Rattus norvegicus: one gene and its partner. The protein of the gene in region 2 purifies or fractionates together with the protein of the main gene of each other region. This does not show direct contact. Links are inferred from orthologs where the notes say so. Each region holds a gene or a part of one and is shown on either strand. Other genes may lie near its edges.

Evidence for each region. The genes of interacting proteins can lie anywhere in the genome.
Region 1: the proteins of Ppp2r2c (region 2) and Ier5 purify together in Homo sapiens (affinity purification with mass spectrometry; 3 studies listed by BioGRID and IntAct, counting the BioPlex papers as one, with this or other methods). This does not show direct contact. The link is inferred for Rattus norvegicus from reciprocal best matches to the Homo sapiens genes PPP2R2C and IER5.

What each region holds. Positions count from the first base shown.
Region 1 is NC_086031.1:69,819,947-69,824,031, forward strand, and holds Ier5 (immediate early response gene 5 protein), read right to left. Parts: upstream 2,597-4,085; 5' UTR 2,411-2,596; coding exon 1,484-2,410; 3' UTR 504-1,483; downstream 1-503. UniProt on the Homo sapiens protein: Plays a role as a transcription factor. Mediates positive transcriptional regulation of several chaperone genes during the heat shock response in a HSF1-dependent manner. Mediates negative transcriptional regulation of CDC25B expression.
Region 2 is NC_086032.1:78,153,408-78,157,481, reverse strand, and holds the start of Ppp2r2c (serine/threonine-protein phosphatase 2A 55 kDa regulatory subunit B gamma isoform), read left to right. Parts: upstream 1-1,269; 5' UTR 1,270-1,580; coding exon 1,581-1,650; exon of another isoform or gene 1,651-1,699; coding exon of another isoform or gene 1,700-1,727; intron 1,728-2,453; exon of another isoform or gene 2,454-2,480; intron 2,481-4,074. UniProt on the Homo sapiens protein: The B regulatory subunit might modulate substrate selectivity and catalytic activity, and might also direct the localization of the catalytic enzyme to a particular subcellular compartment.

The DNA.
Region 1 (4,085 bases), on a different chromosome or scaffold from region 2:
TCGGTTTCTTCATGACTGGTCCTACTAAGACCTCTAAAGTTGCTTTCTAAACCCCACTCCCACCCCAATTCAAATCTACAAAGTGACCCATGGTCTAATAGATTACCAGATCTGTTTAGGAAACAAAGTTTTGGTGGAAATACTTGATATTGGAAAGGCTGTAAAACTTGGCGTTTAGTATTATTTAATATTAAAGATTCCATCAAGTCAAACTATAGAAAACCATGACTACAGAGAAAGCTGTTTCAGTGGCAGGTTTCAAACTGCCAGTCATTAATTCCAGTATCTATTAGTCCTGTGAATGGGGATGTGCGTGAAAACAAAAAAACCAAACCAAACCCTTAAACGTGTCTCTCTTGATACTTATTCTAGTCAGCCAACAATGTCCCTAGCCTGTGACTGGCTGATACGAAGAACCACACCTTCCATTTCCCAGCCTGGCTGCCCCTCCCCCCACCTGGTTGGAAACCCAGACAAGTGATTACATACATACAAGCAGGTAGTGGAGTTGCTTCAAAATATTTAATACGTGTTAGACACGTAAAGTTACATTTTTATACAAAAATCAATACAGAGGAGGAGAAAATACTGTACAAAAACCTTATCAGCTCCCCCAACCTTTATACAACAAAGACTGGAGTCACCGTATCTACAAAACCATAAGGTCCTTCCACTTAGAGCTCGTCTGTAAACTTTGTTTCATTAAACACTTTTTAAAAGCACTGTGTAGTAAGTTCTGAGCTAGAGCTTTTAAAAATATATCTTTTTCTCTATAAACTCCATATTTCCAAGCTTGAACTCTTCTGTGAAGTTCAGCAAGCTTTTTTTCCCCTGTGGGGAATTGAAGGTCCCTTAATGTTCTGCTTTCCCAGAGTAATCACAGGGTAGAAGCGCTTCTTCTGTGCCAGAGAAAGATGGGGAGGAAGAAAAATAATACAAGTCTCTACTCCAGACGAACTCCCTCTAGTCTGGGGAAATCCTGTGAGAAAACGCCACTCCGCGCCCCGGTGTGGTCCTAGCTTTCAGGAGAGAGGTTGTGTGTAAAGTCCCTCTCTTCCCCAAGATCGATCGGGGAACTCCCCTGTCTCGAACCTTTCAGCAGCTTCCTTTTCTGTGCTGCTGGCAGAGGAAAGTCCCTGTTTGCACCCCCAAAGTCTCGAGAACGGGGAAGGGGTGGTGCATTCCAGAACCACAGAATCGTCTCAACACAAGACAAACTTACACATGGACACACACTGATACAAAAGTTAACGATCGATCGTCCTCTTCCAATAAGCCTCCCACTCTAGGTCTCAGGATGAGACTCGAGAGCCACGGCCCAGCCGGGCTGCCCCTTCCGGGGCGATGTGCTGCCCGGCAGCAACCAGTCTCCCTTACGCGCCCAGCGCCTACGGTCTCGGCTCGTCCTCGCGGCCGGGAAAGGCCCCGGCCGCACTTCGGGGACTCCCGCTGCTCAAGCTCCAGCCGCTCAGGTCCCGGGGGATCAGAAGGCCACGATGGCTGTGCTCCAGGGGCTCATGTCTCTCAGAACCGGCTTGTCGCAGCAGATCTGCCCGGGCTCGGAGGCTTCCGGGCCGCCCTCCTCCGCCTCCTCTTCCTCCCGCCCGGCCGCAGGGCTTTTCCGTAAGAGTCCCGAGAAGCTAGACCCGAAGATGCTGATGAGGTTTGCCACGTTCCCGGTTTCCATCTCCTCGTCGGTGTCCTCCTCGTCGGTGACCGGCTGCTCCTCGGAGTTCCGGCGCGGCTTCTTGAGAGGGGTAGAGCCGGGCGCGGAGCAGCCCGCGCGGCCGCCACCCACTCCCGCTGCGCCACGCTTCCTGGGACACGGGGCGGCTGGCGCCGGGGACCCGTTCTCTGAGGACCGCTCCTCCACGGCCGACGGACAGCCACACGGGCGGCGCAGTGCCCGGGGCCCCTCGGAGCACGCGTCCGAGCTGCCTCCAGAAGGCGCCACGCGCGGACGTTCCACGCGGCCCCAAGCAGCTGCCGCCGAGTCCTCCTCTCCGCCCCGTAGAGCGTCCTCCGCTCCGGACACCGCGGCCACCGGTTCTGGGCTTCCCGCTCCCGGCGTGTGGCACACCGAGGGACGCTGAGGCTGAGGCTGAGGCTGCGGCTCGGGCTCCGGCCAGGCGGCGCGGGCGACCGGTGGGGGCGGCTCTCCCCAGCCAGATGGTGGCCCCGCTACCGGCTCTCCGGGCTGCTGTGGCGGCGGTACCGCCGGGGTCCCCGCAGGGCCGGCCAGGTAGAGGCCAGGGCAGGGGTCACTCAAGTAGACTTGGCGGGCGCTGCGCAGCACTAACGACACCAAGAGGTTCTTGTGCAGCTTGATGCCGCCGCGCTGGACCCGCGAGTTGTAGATCTTGCCCAGGGAGATGCTGACGATACGGTGAGCCTCCAGCTTGAACTCCATCCTGCCTCCTCTTCCAGACGACGGGGTGAACGCCTGCTTGCCTTCTAAAGCTGAGAGAGGCGCGAGAGGCAGGAACAGGTTCGCCTCTGTGGTTGTACCCTCAGCGTGTGAAAGCTCGGTGGAGAAAAGATCTAGTGATGCGTAGTTCCCTCCGCCTTTTCTCCTCAGTCAACAGACCCGTTCTGGGCCAGCCTCTAAACTGAGCGGTGCGGGGCCACACCGCGGTTTATATATGCTCCGCGAACGCCAATCACAAAGCGCCGCCAACCGTTCTGGGCGGGCCGATGCGCCTCGTGCGCCACCCCCGGCCAATCAGAGGCAGAGGAGGAGCCCCGGGGCCGGTTCAAACGTTAGTCCCGCGGAGCAAGCTCTTAAAGGGGGAGATCGCAGGCGACCCTTTGATCAAGTGCGGTGGGATTTGTGTTCTGAGCGGGTGATGTGGTAGAACGAAGCACACAGAACTGTTTGTAGTTAGGAATTCCGCTTTGTGAAGTACATTGGCACACTGTAAGGAACCGAACTATTGGGGCTTTCATCCGTTTAGTGTGTTGGAATCTACTGCACAATAAAGTTCGGTTCCTTTCATGAGCAATTTCCAGCTGCTTACAGCTGGTACAGCTGTAACTTCTGGTCATTCTTGGCAGAAACGGAAGCGATGGCAATATATGACAACTACCACGATATATTTGAGATATTATTTTGGAGTTAGTCCCTTTCCCATTAGCGTTACACTCAGCATTTGACTACAAACAAAAAGGGGAGTTTATAGAAATTTCCAAGCTTCTGCTTTATCAAGGAACAGAATTCAGGCACAAAGTTATTGGTTCTCGTCCAAAGCTGGCATATTTCATTCCATTCCTCAGATTCTCAGTTGTCAGTATAGATTAAATGAAGATGTTACCTACTTTTCCACAATGGTTTTGTCTGTTTAAAAAAATGCACAGTAAGTAATTGATCTATTCTTGGGGAAATCTAGTAAGTTCTAAAAATACAAATAAAGAAGTTCTGGTTCCCCATATTGATTATGTAAATTTGTTTTGTGTCAAGTATGGGCAAAAGTTCCTAAAATTTTCCTGGTTAGTCAATGTAGTCCATCCACTGAGTCTTACAAATTCCTGTCAAAAAGACCACGACAAGATGGTACTGGTGCCTGATGACTCAGTAAATTGCCTCATGGCCCTTTAGTTTCAAATCTAAAAAGGAAAAATCATGTATATACCTTCTTTATTATACAGAAGATAAATGACAGCTCCCAGAGGTAATCTAAATAATAAAATTAACCACAGCTTACACAGAGTCTATTAGTGTGAAAAGTTTACCTCATCCTACAGTAGGGTTTTCCTAACCAATGTATTTATGTAGAAGAAACACTAGTGAGGTAGGCTTGATTAGAGCTGGTTAACAACTAGGATGCGCTCAGATATGATGCTTTGGGGTGCTAGCTTTGGCCATTATCCCTGCTATAACTGAAGCCCAGGGTTCCCCCCTTCCAGGAATTCTCAGTCCACATAGAGAAGGAGAGAAAACATTTATAACATGTAGCAACCACAACGTATGGTCAGTAATAACATGAGGTTCTTCTCCATTTTCTCTCCTTAAAAAAATTTTTTTACAAATATTTATTGAATATTGAAATCCAAGTCTGCATCTAGATCCTGACCACTCACCCTTAAAA
Region 2 (4,074 bases):
GTTTTGGCCCTGAATCTGCACCTAGGCCAGGTGGGCAATGGTGGCCTGCTCTGTAGGGCAAGCGCCAGGTCTCAGGGGTCTAGCCTCCTCCCCTCCAGACACTCTAGAGGACTCTGGGGTATTTGCTACCCCTTGAAGTCCTCAGTAGGCCTTTCTGGAGAATCAGTTCTAGCTCTGGATGCCCTCATTCTCCAGTAAGAAACCAGAGTCCCTTTAACCCACTCTCTCCCATCCAACATCCTCTGGACTGGACTGGGGAGGTGTCTGGGGGCCCAAAGGCTAGCTGAAACAGTACCTCCGAAGGGGGAGCAGCCTTGGTGTCCCTCACCCTAAGCTTGTGCCTAATACCTTGGACTCTAGTCCACTTTCCCTGCTTACCTCAGTGACTAGCCTCTCCCAAAGGAGGCTGAAGCTGCTCTCCTGTCACAGCAAGACTTACTGAGAACACAGCAAGGCTAAAAGATCAACACTCCCAAGGCCCCGTGCATGCTCCAAATTCCTCAAGGTAGGAGTCAGTAGGAAGAGGCAGTTTGGTAAAAGAAGTGAGCACACTCCCCTCCCGCCGCAGCCGCCCTGCCTCCCTGGCTCTTGTAGGATGCTGGAAGCGCCTGGATGACTAAGGACGGGAGGAAGGAAGTAGGAAAGGGGATTGGGGGTGGGGGCTTAGGAACACAAGAAGGAGGCAAGGGAATAAGTACTGAAAAGGGAGAAGGAGGAAAGAAGTGTTGAAAAGTGAGAGAGGGAAGAAGAGGAAGGAGGAGAGGAAAGAAAGAAGAACTAGAGGGAAGGGTGGCAGAAGCCCTCACTTGACAGAGGCTCCAAGGAGCAAGCGCAGCCAACCAGCCTCAGTGCTCCCATTAGAAAGGTGGACAGGACAGGAGGCAACTCACCCCCAGCCGAATTATCCAGCTCCGCCTTGTGGGGTGCTGACCTTCCGGCCCCAAAGGCGCGCTGGGAGGGGCGCCTCCCCCAACCCCCCCGCAATTATCAGAACAACCCCCATCTTCTCCTTAATAAAGGGCCGCGACGTCCTCGCGCTCCCGACCCCCCTAAGTCTCTCCTCCAACTGCCTTGTCCCTAAATAAAACATCTGGCCAGCAAGGTGGCCTTCACTCTGGATAGGTGTCCCTGGCTCCGGAGGTGACCGCTGTGGCGGGGCTCCGCGCATCAGCTCCACCTGCGCGGTGGCTGCGCGGCCGGGGGCGGAGAGGCGTGCAGCGGAGGGAGGGGCCTGCGACACGGCCCCGCCACGGCGCAGCCCGGCTCAGCGCCGCGCGCGTCCCCTCGCCGCCGCCACCGCCAGGCGCCCGGACGCAGCGCGAACGGAGCGGCCGGGATGTGCGCCCGGGCCCCGGCCCGCCCCACGCTGCGGCCGCCGCCTGCCCGCCGCACGCTCGCCTGAGCGCGGCGCCCACCCGCCGGTCCCCGACCACCTGACCGCGATGCCCGCCCTCCCGGGCCCCGGCGGCCCGAGACCCTGCTAGGCTGCGGCGGCATGGCCCGCGCGCCCGGCGCGACCTCTGCGGATTGCATCGGTGTGCGGCGGCGGGGCATGCCCAGGGCACCGGGCGCGGCCTTCAATGGGCGAGGACACGGACACGCGGAAAATTAACCACAGCTTCCTGCGGGACCACAGCTATGTGACAGAAGGTAACGTACGTGTTGTCTGAGACCCCCTCCGGCCGGCCGCGGCGTGGGGATGCCGTCGCACCGAATGCCCTCCGAAGGTTTGGACCGCGCGCTGTGTGTCGTGTCCCCCCCCCCCCCCCCACCCCGACCCCGGGCCGGGAGGGAGGGAACCCAGGGGCTTCGGCCACTGCCCAGCGCCCTCCTCCGTGCCGCCCTCGGGAACGCAGCTGTCCTTCCCTCGCCGGGTGGCACTGGATCGGGCCCTGACTATCATTTACAAAGCCCAAGGCTGCAGCAAATCTGGTGTGGAAATCTCCAGGACCTGGAAAGGCTTAAAAATCCTTCATTTGCCCTTTCAGCCGGGCCAAAGCTCGCAGAAATTTCTAGATTGCCCACTCCCTGGAGAGGGACCCAGGAGGGAAAAAATTTCATTGCCAGATCCTCTAGGGTTCAGCTGCCCTGGCACCTCCCCGGCCTCCAGAGGCAGGTCCCCTGCGTGGGAGGGGGAAAGAGGCTCGTAGGGTCTACTGTTTTATTCCCGGGTAGTGTTACTGAGAAGGAGCTGGGCCAGATATTCGTGGTTTTCCGGAAAAGTGGGGCATGTTACCCCAAAGAGGCTCTGCGTTTAAAACCCCCTAAGTTGGCCCTGTGCGTCAGCCCCCACCAAAGGCTGGTGGGATGCAGAGGATCGGTGTCCTTTGCTAATGTGACAGTAACTTCCGGAGTCCCCAGCCCCTGACTGGCCACAGGAACGGTGGGGACAGCTCCAGCGCGCAGCCGGGGGCCGGAGAAGTGAATCTGCTGCAGTGAGGGAGTGCCAGACCTGGCCACAGCAACCCGCCGGCATGCAGGTGCTGGAAACCTCCCCGGGCAGTGTAGGAGCCTCTTCCCCGGGGCTGCGAGCCTGGTGGGGAGGGTGTCTAGGGTTTAAGCAGGTGGCTGACCCGGTGGGAGGGGCCCTGGCACTGAGTCCTGGGGGCCGGCGCGCGTGGGTGCCTGCTCCAACGAACCTGCGTGGGCATGGCCTCCCCAGTGCCGAGCTCCGCCGGAAATGAGGCGGGCGCGGCGACTCCCGGCGGGCGCGCGGACCCCAGAGGCAGAGGCTAGGTGTGCGACCCGGGCGTGCAGATGCTGATGCTGAGAGCGGGGCTCCGCGCGCCGAGAACCGCTGAGTCACACGTTGCCGCGGGGTGTGCGGGGAGAGGGGGTAGGGCTGCCAGGCTCGGGCTGGGTGGCGGCGCTGCCCTTACCGGGCTTTGGGAGGCTCCTGGCGCAGAACTCAGCCCTTTGTCGCCCGCTGGGTGATGCGGAGGAGGGTCGCGCTTCGCGAAGATGATTATCTGCTTACAGCCTGCCTAGCAGCAGAAGGCAGCCTGCGTGGCAGGTCGGCTGCGGGGCTTCTTGGCAGGGAGTCCTGTGCAGGGCCAGTGTTGGTCTGGCTTTCTGGAGGAAAGCCTCAGTTTTCTCATCTGCACACTGGGAACCAGCGGGCCTCAGCGTTTATGTGTGCCAAACACAAAATGCATAGTGCCCACCTCACAGGCAGGGACAGCTCAAAGGGTTGTTCCGGTCCGTATCCTTCTTCCTCTTCCTTAATAAACCCACCTCAGCAAGGTTCACAGGAGGAAGTACCTTCATGGTTCAGTGGCTGCTAGTGGCTGCTACTGCCATCCGCCAAACCTTAAGCTTTCATCGCTGGGGTTGGATGGAGGTCCCTTGCCCTCCTTCATCCCATGTTGTAGCAGAGATCCCTGTGACTTGTGGGGAAGCCTTTTTTCATATGCCTCACTTTCCCTATTTGTACAATGGGAGGAAACAAAGCCCCCTTCCCTGCCTACCTTCGACCTGTAGAGGTGATTGACAACTGAAATGTCTTGAGCACCTACTGTGCCCTAATGCTTCACATAGGGCCTGGTGGAAGGTCTCTTCATGAGCCCTGGGCAGTGGGCAGTGTGTGTAGGACACAGGACTCAGATGTTTCTACCCCTCAGGGATGTAGAAGAGTAACGTTTATAGAGTGAAACTCCCTTAGAATCTAACTGAAAGGAGTAGGGAATTTAAACGAAGGTGTCCCATACACACACATACACACACACACACACACACACACACACACACACACACCAGTCACACTATAGGATCCCCGAGTTCAAGGTCACAGATTTTGTCTCCTGGCCTACAAAATTATGTTCAGCCTCCCTGGATGAGTCACTGGGCTTCATTTGTCTTCTCTGTAAAGGGAGAAGTCACAGTGGCCTCTAGCTCAGGATTGTTGAGATGGCAGTAGCCCTGAGAGTGTCAAATGCTCTCAGATAGGATCGGGCCTCCTGGAGGTATTTGATAAATGTCACCAGAGTCATCGTGTCCTAGAGACTTGCTTTGCACAAGACCCACGTGTATGCCTTCCCATTCCCACCTGGAGGTAGGCCCCTTGCTCACTTAGAT